2 linked regions of the Elephas maximus indicus genome follow. The protein of the gene in region 2 binds, or shares a complex with, the protein of the main gene of each other region. Links are inferred from orthologs where the notes say so. Each region holds a gene or a part of one and is shown on either strand. Other genes may lie near its edges.

Region 1 (7,913 bases), on a different chromosome or scaffold from region 2:
TGACTGACCTGTCTAATCTCTAAAGCCCATTACCCAAGGGCAAACCCACTGTCGTGGAGTTGATTCTGACTCATGTGACCCTACAGGACACAGGAGAACTGCCCCATAAGGTCTCCTAGGCTGTAATCTTTATGGAAACAGACTGCCACATCTTTCTCCTGTGAAGCAGCTGGTAGGTTCAAATCGCCAACTCCTCAGTTAGCATTTGAGCTCTTAATCACTGAGCCACCAGGGTTCCTTTACACAATGGCAATTAGCCTCAATACTGAAGAAACCACTCCAGAGTCTGGCTGGCTAACCCTAGTATGTACCGAGAGGTTGCACAGCACAGGGGTTTAGAAATCTGGCTTTGGTATCAGACTATACAGGTTAAAACTCAGCTCATCCACTTCACTAGCTATCTGACTTATGCTCGCTGTTTTGTTTCTGCAACTGTGAAATGAGGAAAACAATGGTACCTAACTTCATGGGATTACTGTGAAGGGTAAATGAATAAATACAGGAAGATCACTTTGAACACTACCTAGTTCATACTGATACCACTACTGTAACAATAAATGATAATTGCTATTATAATCACTAATTTTGATATTATACAAGTTCCTGGGGAAGCAGGGTCCAACAAAATAACATGTCCCTATCTCCAAGAATATAGGGTCACTATAAGTTGGCAATGGGGTTGGCTTTTACAGAAACCCCTGATGGTGTAGTGATTAAGAGCTACAGCTGCTAACCAAAAGGTCGGCAGTTTGAATCCACCAGGCGCTCCTTGGAAACTCCAACGGGCGATTCTACTTTGTCCCATAGGGTCGCTATGAGTCGGAATCAACTTAACGGCAACGGGGCCTGGTTTTTTGTTTGTTTGTTTGTTTATCTCCAAGAAATCGTAGAGACCCCCCTGAACATTCTTTTCACAGAAAAACTATTGAACATCACCCGTTCTGTAGGCCAGGCCCACTCAGAGAGAGGTCAATGTAGCCAGTAGCCCATACCTGTTTTCATAGATGTCCTGGATCTCATAGACCTTCTGGTCAATGACATCACTGGAGACACGACTGGCCTGTAGCTCATACACCTTCTGGTCGATCAAATCCGAGACGGTTTTGTGGAAATACTGGATGAAGTTTTTGATCACTTCAGGGATGACTTGGTAGGTCTGCTGTTCATACTGACGTTCATAAGCCAGGTCCTGCTTTGGATCTCCTAGAGGTTGGATAAAACACAAAGTGCTTCCAGACCCACATATGTGATGTAACAAAAGGCACGACCACCCCAAGTCATCCCAAACGAAACTCCAGCCCATGAAAAAATCTAGAGCTGCCATCAAATCACTCCAATTCATGGTGATCCCACGTGTCAGAGCAGAACTGTGCTCTGTAGAGTCTTCAATGGCTGATTTTTAGGACGCAGATTGCCGGGCCTTTCTTCCAAGAGGCCCCTGCGTGCACATGCACCTCTCTGGATAGCAGCTAGGCATGTTGATTTACACCACCCAGAGACTCCCAAGTCTATGATATCAGGTACAAACCTTTTGAACGCTCTGATATAACCCCCACAAATCATCTCGACCCTACTGCTGTATTTCTTCAGAACAGTTATCGCTATCTAAAATTACTCATTTACCTATCATCTGTTTCCCCCACTAGAACCTAAAGTCTATGAGGGCAAGAACCTGGTCTGTCTTGCTCCCAGGTATACCCTCAGGGGCCAGAACAGTTGTGTATGTCTGTTGGGGGGTGGAGGATGACAAGAGGTAGTAGGCACTTAATATTTTTTGAATGACTGAGTGACTGCCAGTACCTAACTATATCATGTCACTAAACCCTTAAGTGCTCCGTTTTCTCATCTGTAAAACGAAAACATTAATGCATGTACTTCACAGAACTATTTTAGGAATTAAATGAAACACTTCTCATAAAGTACTCAGAACAATTCATGGCAAGCCAACTCACTCCAACATTTCAAGAACCCTCAAAGCCTCCCACCTTCCCCCCCTCAATTTTATTTTGGCATAGTTCTAATCACTTTAAACTTCACTTCAAGATTCTCTTTTTTTGCTAACAATTTAAACGGGGAAACCACAGCCAGTCAGTGGGGCTCTTCCTCTGAGACTTTGAAGTAGACCACAAACATGGCCCGGTTTATTAGGGTCCATACAACCTTCCCACTGAAAGCTAACAACTGACTCTAAACCTGGACCATCGACAAGCCCATTTTTAACAGGTACCCGTCAGAGCTGTTCTAGGCCATTCAAAAAGGCACGGGTCCACAGGAGAGCCCGCCTAGCCCTACAAACCCGTGGTCTCACCTGTGTGCATATCATAGTCGCCTGGATAAGCATAGGGATCATATGCGGCCTAGAACGACAAAGGCACAGAAAAGAACAGTCACCAATCTGTGAATGCAAAATGTTCATTCCTGCCAAGTGCCAAGCAGGCTGCTAATGGATACAAAGCTGAATAAAACGCAGTCCCTGCCCTTAAGAAACTCACATTTCTGCAAGAAAACAGAGAACAGACAATGACAACGCAACGTCACCGGGGCAATAAGCTAGAGAAAACTACAAGGACGGTGGGAGCCAGCAGGGTTTGGCAAGACTAAACCCAGGCCCAGAAAAAGCGTTCAGTCCCAGAAAGAGAAGCCTGATAGGAATAGGGCGTAAGCGCCCTCCGGCCGCAGTCCTGGCAAACGGGAGGACGAGGGCACCGAACACACGAAGCGGGCGGGCAGACACAGGGCGGGTGAGGGGCCACGAGCTGTGGCTTCTAAGGGCCGCGCGGAGAGGCAGGCCGGAGCTGGCCGCGGCCCACGGGGGCTCGGGGAAAGGCCAAGACGCCGCTTCCCCGCGGGCCCCAGCATCCATAAAGGCCCTGCCAATGTCGCGGACCCTGCCACGCGCTTAGGCCCATCTTACCTCAGACTCGTAATCATCAGCGGGATACGACATGGCTGCGGCGCTAGCGGAACACCGCCGAAGAGAGCGAAAAGACCAGCCCTCGCCGGCGTGATGACTCCGGAAGTTCTACCCCGCTTGGCCCTGCGGGGACCGGAAGCCTTTCTGAGGGCGCCGGCACCCTGAGACCGCCACGTTAAGAAGGGCAAAAATTACGAAACACCTAAATTTTTTCTTCCCTTTCCAAATAGAGACTTTGCAAGGGGGGACATTTTATATCACTTGCATAAATCAGAAATAGGGACGTGAACTATTTCATCATAAATAAACAATGGGCAAATTAAGGGAAACAAGAAGGAATGCCACACAAAAAATGGCTGACAGCTCCCTCGGGCTGCCTTCTCGCGTGAAGAAAAAGCCGGATGAACGGGGTCTGAATGCAGATTTAGTCGTCAACGGGTTGCCTGCGACCAGCAACGTTTTCAAACGTTCTGGTTTCAAATTTTACTGGGTGGAAAAGTTGAGCCTCGGTCCCACTGAGTGAGAGGTCATCATGAAAAGGTGCCCCCCAACTTTGGGCATTAAATTGGAGCAGGCAAAGATGAAGCCAGCTGTGGCGTGAGGCCCTGGGGCGAGTCCTGGGAGCTGTGCTGCGCTTGAGCGCCCAGTCTGTGTGTGGTGGTCGGGGAGGGGTCGTGGGGTGGATTCGAGTCGCTCGGAAACCCTCGAGTTAGGGATGGAGGTTATAAAACAAGGGAATCCCGGGTGGTGGGTTTATTTCTGTTTTCGGTCAAGGACCTTAGTTTAGCCATCGGCTCATTCCCAACACACTAGTCAGGTGATCTGGGTTCCAATGTGACTTGCTGTGTGACCCGTAGCGTGTCGCACCCCTTCTGCCCCAGCCACCGCGTCCTGTAGTCACACTGCCTTCCTTGCTTTTCCCATCCAGAGACACTCCGCCTCGGGGTTTTTGCACTCACAGTTACCTGCCTCTGGACTCTAGAATGCAGCCCGCTCAGATACCGCACGGCTCGCTTTGTCTTCAAGTGTTTATTCTGAAGTTATCACTCGAGCATCCCATTTAGAATTACAACGCCCCGTCCCAACTACCTATGCCCTTTCCTGCTTTGTGTTTCCCCGTCGCACTATGGTCGAATTGCCACCATGGAACTAATGGAGGTTACGCTTTGGGACCCCTTCATTCCCAGAGTCCTTCCATGGCTCTGGGTAGCCCCTAACAATGTCCTCACGTGGTCATGTATTTTTGTAAAATTTACAAAATAGTATTTATTGCAATTGGTTGTTAGGACCAAACTATCTTTCCACTTGGATTCCCCTCTGTCGCACTTGCTCTTGTTGATCCAGCTAGAGGAAATCCAATGGGGGAACATTTGAATTAAGTACTTTGCCTCTTCTGTGCATAGTTGTCGTTGCTGGCCTTTCGTTTGTAGGAATACACCTAACCATCCACTGTGGTCAATGAGTGTCGTCAATTAAAGGAATATTTAAGATTAATCAGAGCCTAAGAAAGCTTGAAATATGTGAGATCTTACAATTCATATATGACAAAAATTTCATACAGTTCTCTCCAAATTTGATAATTCCTCAAAATGTTAATAATACAGAGTTGTGAAATCAAAAGGATTTCTAAATTATAAATAATAAAATAAAAATTTGTTCTAATGAGGAAACACAAGCATTTTTCCATTCTCATTATGGAAAATGATGATACAAAATTGTTGTCATATAAAGAGGTTAGCCAACAGAAGAAAACAAAAACTGTGGAGGTGTTTCCACCAATTAATGTTACTTTTCTGGATTTTGTGATTTTGTGGTATTTGTGAGCATATTAAAATTTGCAATTGCTTGATTTCTCACATAATTTGGGTTGTGAGTTCTCTTTCTAGACAAATATTCTCTTTCTAGTTTCATTTTTGTAATGTTCTATTCTTTATTCCTAATGAAAGCTTCAGGCCCCACAAAATTTGGATTACCTGTTTATAACCATCTATCATTCATTCTTCATTCATCTATTCACTCATTTATTTATGGTTTCCTAACTCTTCCAGGGAAACCCTGGTAGCGTAGTAGTTAAGAGCTACAGCTGCTAACCAAAAACTTCAGCAGTTCAAATCCACCAGGTGCTCCTTGGAAACTCTATGGGCAGTTCAACTCTGTCCCACAGGGTCCTTATGAGTCGGAATTGACTCAAAGGCTGGTTTTTTTTTTTTTTTTTTTAACTCTTGCAGAACGTACCCTTTAATTTAGAGAATCACAATGCAAATTAGAATAGTAAAAGCTTCAAGAGGACCTTCCTCACTGGCTACTGGCTTCTCACTTTCTTTGTTGGCCCCTCTTCATCTCTACAATCACGAAATAGTAGATCACTCCCCGGGCTTGGTTCTTGGGTCTCTGCTCTTCTCTACCTTCATTTCCTGTCTCATCCAGTTCAGTAGGTTTAAATATCATCCATATGCCATTGACTCCTCACACGTATCTCTCCATCCCAGACCCTGCCCTGGAAGTGGGCCCATGACCCCTTGCCTAGTCACATTGCAACTTAAAACGTCCAAATTCAGTATCTGATCTCCTGGCTCAAACCTGCTGCTCCCATACTTTTCCCCACCTCAGTTAAGACAACCATTTTAGGAAGTAACATATGATCAGGAACCTATGGTACCGAAGGAAGAAGTCCAAGCTGCACTGAAGGCATTGGCAAAAAACAAGGCTCCAGGAATTGACAGAATACCAACTGAGATGTTTCAACAAACTTGCAGCACTGGAAGTGCTCACTCGTCTATGCCAAGAAATTTGGAAAACAGCCACCTGGCCAACAAACTGGAAAAGATCCATATTTATGCCTATACCCAAGAAAGGTGATCCAACCGAATGTGGAAAATATCAAACAATATCATTAATATTACATGCAAGCAAAATTTTGCTGAAGATCATTCAAAAGCGCCTGCAGCAGTATATCGACAGGGAACTGCCAGAAAGTCAAGCCGGATTTGGAAGAGGACATGGAACCAGGGATAACATTGCTGTTGTCAGATGGACCCTGGCTGAAAGCAGAGAATACCAGAAGGATGTTTACCTGTGTGTTGTTGACTATGCAATGACATTCGACTGTGTGGATCATAACAAATTTTGGATAACATTGCAAAAAATGGGAATTGCAGAACACTTAATTCTGCTCATGAGGAATCTGTACGTGGACCAAGAGGCAGTCGTTTGAACAGAACAAGGGGATACTGCATGGTTTAAAGTCAGGAAAGGTGTACAGTGGTGTTGTATCTATTCACCATACCTATTCAACCTGTATGCTAAGCAAATAATCCAAGAAGCTGGACTATACGAAGAAGAATGGGGCATCAGAATTAAAGGAAGACTCATTAACAACATGCGTTATACAGATGACACAACCCTGCTTGCTGAAATTGAAGAGGACTTGAAACACTTACTGAAGAAGATCAAAGACCACAGCCTTCAGTATGGATTATACCTCAACATAAAGGAAACAAAAATCCTCACAACTGGACCAATAAGCAACATCATGATAAATGGAGAAAAGACTGAGGTTGTCAAGAATTTCATTTTACTTGGATCCACAATCAGTACCCATGGAAGCAGCAGTCAAGAAATCAAAAGACGCGTTGCAGTGGCCAAATTAGCTGCAAGAGATCTCTTTAAAGTGTTAAAAAGCAAAGATGTCACCTTGAGGACTAAAGTGTGCCTGACCCAAGCCAAGGTGTTTTCAATCGCCTCATATGCATGTGAAAGTTGGACAATGAATAAGGAAGACCAAAGAAGAATTGATGCCTTAGAATTGTGGTGTTGGTGAAGAATATTGGATATACCATGGACTGCCAAAAGAATGAACACATTTGTCTCAGAAGAAGTGTAACCAGAGTGCTCCTTAGAAGTTAGGATAGCGAGACTATGTCTCACATACTTTGGACATTTTACCAGGAGGGGTCAGTCCCTGGAGAAGGACATCATGCTTGGTAAAGTAGAGGGTCAGCAAAAAAGAGGAAGACTCTCAAGGAGAGGGATTGACACAGTGGCTGCAACAATGGGCTCAAGCATAGCAACATTTGTGAAGATGATGCACGATGGGGCAGTGTTTTGTTCTGTTGTACATAGGGTCACTATAAGTTGGAACTGACTCAACAGCACCTAACAACAACAGTTAAGACAACTCTACTCCTTTAGTTGCTCAGCCCCAAATCTGCAGAACCATCTTTGACTCTTCTGTTTTTCTCACACCCTACATCCAATCCACTTACTGATGTTAAAAATGGTGTGAGTGTCTGATCTCTCTAACGTCTCGATGGAGAGAGAATCACTATTAGCATCAGCCTAAAGCTGATTTACTGTGAGACAGAGGTCAAACATACCACCTCTCTCCAACCTTTTTAGCAATTCTGACATCAGCTGTCCCTCCCGCAGCACTCCACTTCTCTGCTGGGTTCTCACAATTATGGGGCTTATTCGGGAAGTAACAGGTTACAATTCACAGTCAGGAACAACTCAGGATATAGTTCTTCAATCTGGACAGCATCTTCTCAGCTGGGCCTGCAGTCAGGCCTCTTTTTGGCCCTTGGCTCTTCAGCCTCAGACTCTGCTCAAGCAAGTGTTACAAAGCTCTTTAGCTCTGTCAGTAAGTACCTGGACGCACCCCATTCCACCAGCAAGCCTCCTGCCCAAATGTGCTCAACTTTCTCACTCTGTGAGCTAGGAAGCCCACTGCTTGATTTCCTGGTTCTGCTGCCTCTGCTGCCACCATTTCTCTGCCACTGCTTCTCACTGTCTACAGTATTACAGCTCTCTCTCTGTCTCTTGGGTCTAGGAAGTTCTCGACACAAGGACTCTGGGTCCAAAGGACGTGATACACTCCTAGCTTTTCTTTCTTAGTGGTAGTGAGGACGTGCCTTCTGCTCTGGGATTGGCTCTCTTTCAAGCATATCAGGATGGCAAAACTGGCCAATCTCCTCATAGAGGTTCCATAGACCTTATTGGC
Region 2 (7,069 bases):
CTGGGGCTCACAGTTGTCCTACCATTTGAGATGGGCTGGCAGTTGAGGAATCCCGCCCATCTCATGGGTGGGACAGCTCATCTCCCCTACACCTGCCACTTCTCCCCTCAATTCCACCCCTTCAGTCAGCCAAGGTACTCTGACTGAGCCCTGGGGCCTCCTGTTTGCATTTCTAGCTCAAAGACTGCAGAGGTCCTTTGCATGCTGCTGGGGCTCTGTAGCTCATCGGTGCTGCTGCTGCAATGGCCCAGATCAGGCCATAGTAATGGGGGCTGGTCAGGGGGCCTGAGATGATAGCAGAAAGGGAACTGCTGTGGGTGAGTCTGAAGTCTCCTGTGCTAAATCCTAGCAGCTGAACAGCACCTGAAGGTTTCAGAATCTTTTCACTCTGTTCTCTTACTGTGATCCACGAGGTAGCTATTATCCCCATAAGGGATGAGGAAGCTGAGGCTCAGAGAGGGGAAGTGCTAGGTCTCTGCTCACACCTGGATCTCATGGGCCAGTGGCTTCCTGGAGACAGCAGAGCTGGTGGGTGGGGTCTGTGCATTCAGAGGGTGGACAGTTGCCCCTGGGTCTTGCTCACTGAACTTGTGATGCAGAGTGCAATTCCTGTCACGGTGAGCACCATGCCTGCAACTGCTTCTGCGATAACAGGCGGAAATGGAAGAGCTGTGAGCCCAGCCATGCCAGCAGGAGCTAGTACAGGGCTGGGGAAGGGTTTGGGGCATCTGGTCCCAACTCCTACCCCAACCTCTGTCCCCAACCCAGACTGCCTAGGGGAAAGCAGCTCTAATGGCCACAAGGAAGCAGCAGAGGCTGGACAGCCAGAGGAGCCGGGCAGAATGGAGAAGGGCCTCTCCCCACCTGTCCATCTTTCAGTTAGCAGCACACCTTTTTTAACCATTTGGGCTCTGGAAAAGAACTAATGTGGGTGTGTCAAAGCCCAAGTAGCTGCTTCCCACACTCCCAGTGGCCTGACTTACGTTTTCCACCAATATCTTCTCCAAGTACCTTTCCAACAACCAGCGTGAAGACGACGGCCAGAGAGTTACAGATGGGCACAGCTAGGGTTAGATCTGGGTAGTCAGAAGGAGAAGAATCACTGAGAGGCAAAAAATGTCTTTCTAGGCACAAAACATTTTGGTTTCATCATCAAGACGGCCCTTTAAGAGAGGGATCATGACCGCACTTTCCAGATAAGTCACAGCAAGCTTAGGACTCAAGCCCAGGTCTCCTGACACCAAATTCAGTGCTTCCTCAGGATTCCACCATGAAGACCTGATCCCCAAGGTCTGGGACCACCATGTTTTGATGCTGAGGATGAGGTCTTTGCATTCAGCTCCTCAGAGCTCAAGGGCATCTGGGAGTGCATCAGGCCAGCGGTTTTCAAGCTTTCTTTAAATGAAATTTTATGAGAAGTCCAAAATGTAAAATACATGAAAGTGGAGTGACTCTAGAGAAAGCTGGGGTGGCAGATCTGGAGGCTGGCCTATCTCCTTGCCCTCTCATGGCCTCTGAGGGGTTCCCCAGAACTATCTGGGGTCCAGACTCCCCTCAAGTCCCTGGGGGCCTGGGTAAGACTCCAGGGGAGGCAAACCACTGCAGGGGGACTTCTCATAGCAAAGTTCGAGAGCATAAAACTTTAAATAATCTATGGCTTCAGATCCTCTGCACTGACATGTTATGGGATTAGGTGAAATAAATTGGCCAAAATTTTGTAAGCTCCTCTCTGAATGGTGATAGTCATGTCTGCTTCACAGGGTCATGATGGGAATAAAATGTGTAATACAGTGGAATATAAGTCCTGATCCATACTATGACATGAATGAACCTTGAAAACATTATGCTAAGTGAAATGTCAGCCACAAAAAGACACATAGTATATGATCCCAATAATATGAAACATCTAGAATAGGCAAAGGTGTAGTGACTAAAGTTTATTAGTGGTTACCAGTGGTGGAAGGGAGAGGAGAAGGCGGAATCACTGCCTAGGCGGCAGTGAGCTTCTGTTAAGGGTGACAGAAAAATTTGGAAATGGATAGTGATGATGGTTGCACAACATGAGGACCATAATTAATGTCACTAGATTGTACATGTAAAAAAATGTTGAAATGGCAAATATTTTGTTATACATATATTTACCACAATAAATATATTAGAATAAAAAATAATAGAACGTGTAAAATTAGCACAGTATCTTTGCAATAGAGTCCAGTCAACAAATCTTAGGGAAAAGGAAATTCATATTTATTGAGCTCCTACTGTGTGCCTGACACTCTGCTGGATGCTTCTCGTAAAGAAAAAAAAAAAATTTTTTTTTTTTTATATTTAATCCTCACACTACGAAGCAGGTCATATAAAACTGAGGCTCAAATAAGAGACTTGCTCAAGGTCGAGGAAGGTAGCACACGGTAGAAGTAAGAATGTCAAAGCCAGCACAGCAAGATGAACCTTCTTCCTCCTCCGCTGCTGCACAAGACTACCAGGCTTCACACCAACCCTAGTGCTTGATAGCATACCAAAACCAGCCTGCTATGCCCCTACTGCTCAGAGAAGAGGGTGCAACGAGGAAACCAGAGACAGTGTTCTCCCTCACTGTTGGGAACAGATATTTCAAGGTCCTTCCCAAAAATTTCTCTCCTGGGTGACCTTCACCACTAAACAGAATGGTTCCAAGCCAGAGACCCACCTGTGGATGCCAAGGTGAGGTAGTAGAGAAGGGAGCCACACTGGTTGAGGAGAAAGGGCATCAGGTACTGGGAACAGGAGAAGCTACAGTAAGTGTGATTGCCAGACTGGGTAGGGCAGCACTGCCTTCTTCGAGCTTCTAGCATATGCCTTTCCTTGGAGGGAGAGGTGGTTCTAAGGGCCCAGGGAGCACTAAGCCCTCAGAGGACCTTTCCAGGGCAAAAAGGGAAACAGTTACTGACTGAACTCCATGCTTTTGCCCTGGAATGCCCTCTCCCTCAGCTCTGCTAGCTCCCATCCTCCCCATCCTGCAAGGCCTTGAGTGCATGCCAATGTCACCCCCTCCAGGAAGCCTTCCTTGAGTCCCTCCAGCTCCAGCCTCCCTCCTCTAACTCACACAGCACCGTCATCTGTACCCTTCATACCCTTAGTCCTGAGATAGGTGGATGTGTCTACCTCTCGTCTTTACCACTAGCTTAGGCTGGCAGCCTTGGATTCAGGAGCAGTTCTCCACATCCTCTTTTCCCTCCATCCCCAATTTGAGCGCCAAGCTCTCCCTCTGGAAAGGTCTGTTGCAGAAATCACAATCATAAAGTAATAATAACAGCCATGAATTGAGCACTTATGTACTGGGCTGAACGCTAAATTCTTTTATGTGGCTCATTTCACTTAATCCTCATGACTGTCCTATAAAGTAGGGCATTATTATCCCCATTTTACAGACTATGAAAACAGGCTCTGGGAGGACAAGTGTATCTGCCGGACAAATGGCGGAGCCAGGATTCTGGCCCAGATCTGTTTGATTCCAGAAATCAAATCCTTAGCAGCCACCCTCGAGAGGCAGGCCGTTCAGGGACGCACCTCAGTATTCAAGAAGAGGGTCTTCATCTCCTGCAGCAACTGCTTGGCCCAGGTACGCTCATGAACCTGCTGCAGGCCGGCGGAGGCCCGCTTCAGCAGCGGCTGCGTGCCACCCCACAAAGCGGCCACCAGCACCAGGGCCAGCACCTGCCCTGAACGGAGGTTCCGGTCATTTCACCCTCCCCAACCTGCTGCCCGCCTGGCCCGGCCCTCCCCAGCCCTTCATCCAGACCGGGCCCTTCCCTGGCCTTCTGTCCTGGCCGCCCCCCACCTCCCTCCTTCGCGTGATTGGCTGGTAGGTCAGGCCCCGGGAAGCCAGAAAAATTGAACCAGCAGCCTGGGGGCTGGGATTGTGGCAGGGGTGAGGGTTGGAGGGGTGGAGGTGGGGTAGGAAATGAACTCTGAGTGTGGTCTGCGAGGCCATGGAGGGGCGGGGTCAGCTACCCACCAAGAGACGCCGCCATGGCAACGTCACTACCTTCTACTTCCGGGAACGGATAGGCGGAGACCCATAATCCGGAAGTGGCTCCAAGGCTTCTTCCGGTCCTACTCAAGCCGCCGCTCTTTAGCGTCACCGCCGGCATGGTGAGTTCCACTGAGGTGGGGGTGCTGGCTTGGGGGTCCCAGGCTGGGGCAGGAACCCGATTCCGGCCGCTGACACTCTCGTCCTGTCTCCACAGAAGCCGATCCTGCTGCAGGGCCATGAGCGGTCCATTACGCAAATCAAGTACAACCGCGAGGGAGACCTTCTCTTCACCGTGGCCAAGGACCCTGTGAGCCTCATCCTGAGGGCCGGTGGGTGGGACCATGCGGAGGGGAGCTGCCAGGGTGATGGTTGTACAAACTAATTTTGCCGCTAGAGGGGACCCAAACAAAGATCGCACGGTTCTGAGAACCAGGGAACCAGGGTAGGGGAACACACCACCCCTTCTAGAGGAAAGCTGATCCATGGGCCGCGAGGGACACAGGGGATTTAATGGGGTGATGGCGCAATGGTTAAGCACTGGGCTGCTAACCGAAAAGTTGACGGTTCGAACCCACCCAGTGACTCCCCGGGAGAAAGACCTGGAGATCTGTTCCTGTAAAGATTACAGCCTAGAAAACCCCGTGGAGCAATTCTACTCTGTCACGTGGGGTCGCTGTGAGTCGAAATTGGCACCTAACGAGTTTCATTTCATTCAGTGAGCTCACTGAGTGCAAACAGTCCCTCGTGGTACTGCCTTTACACAGAATATTAACACTAATGCTTAAAAGTGGGGCTCTCAACCCAAACAGACCTGGATTTCAATCCTGACTGTTGGATCTGTTAGCATTGTGACTTTGAGTATGTCACTTAACCTTTTTAAACTTCCAAGTTTCCGTTTTTATAAAATACGGTGCAGCGGTTAAGAGCTCAGCTGCTAACCGAAAAAGATGGTCAGTTCTAATCCACCAGCCGCTCTCTGGAAACATGGGGCGGTTCTGCTCCGTCCTATAGGGTCGCTATGAGTGAGAATCAACTTGAGGGCAGTGGGTTTATTTTTTATATATAACCCCAAGCTCCCTCACGGGGTTGTCTTTAGGATTAAATGAGATCATTTATGTAAGGAGCTTAGCACAGTACCTGGTGCATGTTGTTGTGTGCCATCAAGTCGATTCCAACTCACAGCAGCCCTATGGTGCATATGAGTGGTTAATTAGTGTTAGTTAGTTATATTTAAGCTCTTTCGACTTCATTTCATTGATGCCTCCCAGTTACCCTTTGAAGAAGACGTTATTCTTATGGCCACTTTACAGATGGGAAAAGCGAAGGTCAGAGGGAAGAAGTGCTCTATTTGAGATAATACAATGATAATCCAGTCCCTAGTGCCAGTATGAACACAGGCTTCCCTACTGCCAATTGCTCCCATTGGGACAGGACACCAAAGCTGTTTTTTTTTGGACTAGAGCTCAGCTTGACCTTTTATTCTTCTGAAGGTCTGGGAATATGTGCAGTGACAAAAGAGGACACTTTTGTAAGCCTCCTGACTCCCTTGTTTACCTGCCGGCATCTAGAGGCTGCTGAGGGTTCTGGGGTAAAATAGGCCACTGCTCTGCCTGAGATGTTAGCATCCTGTCATTTGATTCTTCCAGATCGTCAATGTATGGTACTCCGTGAATGGGGAAAGGCTGGGCACCTACATGGGCCACACTGGAGCTGTGTGGTGTGTGGATGCCGACTGTATCCTTACCTTTACTCTTTGAGTCTATGTTCCCAGGTCTGCCAGCAATGGAGAGGTTGCTGAGCTTGGGGCTGGTGGTTTGGGATGCTGTTGTGGGTCTAGAGAATGATACCTCCCTCTCTAGTCTCTTCCCTGGTTGGGCAAACGTTTGGGAAAACTTCCAGTTGTGGATAAGGAGGTGCAAATGCTTTGAGGTAGGAAGGGGGAAGAAAGACTGTTTGGAACTGAACATGGAAGTGATTCACTTGGCCTCCCAAGAGGACAAGGGCTCAGGCAAACCTGGTCTTGTTCCTTAATACGCACTTCAGGGGACACCAAGCATGTCCTCACTGGCTCAGCTGACAACAGCTGTCGTCTCTGGGACTGTGAAACAGGTAAGCCTGGGTCATTCACTTTTTCAGCAAACATTGAGTACCTACAGTATGCCTTTTTAAGTGAACAGGTTCTTGGGAAATAGAAACAGAAGAGAAGATAAGGAAGACAGATGAGAAAAGAGGCACTTCGTTAAGATAAAAGCCATGTTAGAGGAAGCATAGAGTACTGTAGTAGGATCAAGGGGGCAACTGACTGCCTGGAGTAGAGGCGGGAGCAGCCAGGGAAAACTTCTCAAGGTACACGTAATATGAGCTGGGGCTGGAAGGGTGAAAGAAGGTCATCACTTTGGCGCATGCAGGAATGAAAGCATAGCAAGTGTTAAGCCCAAGTCATCTGATCTCGCTGGAGTTCCTGCTTCTTGGGTGGTGAAATAGGTAGACAGTAGAGAAGATGAGGCTGGATAGGTAGGCTAGAGCCAGAACAGACGTTGAGTGCCAACTCAGGAGCGTGGCTTTGTTCTGTAGGCCTTGGCAAGCTATGGAGGTCTCAGAGCAGGGAAGTGGCAATGTGTTTACTTTTAACAAGTTCAGGTAGCAGTGGGCAGCGTGCATTGGAAGAGCTAAGACTAAAGACAGAGAAGCCTGTTAAGCTGCTTCATTTAGTACATATTTACTGGGCACCCAATTCTGTCCCAGGCACTGGGGACACGCAGAGAAATTAGACCAGGTCTCTGCTGTGGAGGAGCGCAGTCTAAGGGGGAGACAGATGATTGCAATCCACCATGAGCAGCACCACGTTAGCTGATGTCGGAGGAGAGATGAGGGGAAGAAATTAAGACTTGAGCCAAAGCAGTAGCAGTGAGGAAGAGGAGAGGGGTGGATTGGAGTCACTGGAGCAGGAGAAACAGTGGCATATGATGCTAGCCAGGTGTAAGGAGTGTCTTCCCATGATGGCAGTGGGCAAAGGGTAGCCCAGACTCTGTCTGTCGCCAGGGAAACAGCTGG

Evidence for each region. The genes of interacting proteins can lie anywhere in the genome.
Region 1: EIF3I (region 2) and EIF3L share a complex: the UniProt entries of both Homo sapiens proteins name them as parts of the eukaryotic translation initiation factor 3 (eIF-3) complex. The link is inferred for Elephas maximus indicus from reciprocal best matches to the Homo sapiens genes EIF3I and EIF3L.

Annotation. Positions count from the first base shown.
Region 1 is NC_064822.1:181,743,444-181,751,356, reverse strand, and holds the start of EIF3L (eukaryotic translation initiation factor 3 subunit L), read right to left. Parts: upstream 3,016-7,913; 5' UTR 2,948-3,015; coding exon 2,915-2,947; intron 2,358-2,914; coding exon 2,309-2,357; intron 1,204-2,308; coding exon 993-1,203; intron 1-992. UniProt on the Homo sapiens protein: Component of the eukaryotic translation initiation factor 3 (eIF-3) complex, which is required for several steps in the initiation of protein synthesis.
Region 2 is NC_064821.1:73,124,113-73,131,181, forward strand, and holds the start of EIF3I (eukaryotic translation initiation factor 3 subunit I), read left to right. Parts: upstream 1-4,131; coding exon 4,132-4,134; coding exon of another isoform or gene 4,135-4,229; coding exon 4,230-4,322; exon of another isoform or gene 4,323-4,344; intron 4,345-5,661; coding exon 5,662-5,749; intron 5,750-6,058; coding exon 6,059-6,124; intron 6,125-7,057; coding exon 7,058-7,069. Other genes in the region: TMEM234 (transmembrane protein 234), read right to left, coding at 548-642, 984-1,076, 2,690-2,756, 3,550-3,701, 3,998-4,253. UniProt on the Homo sapiens protein: Component of the eukaryotic translation initiation factor 3 (eIF-3) complex, which is required for several steps in the initiation of protein synthesis.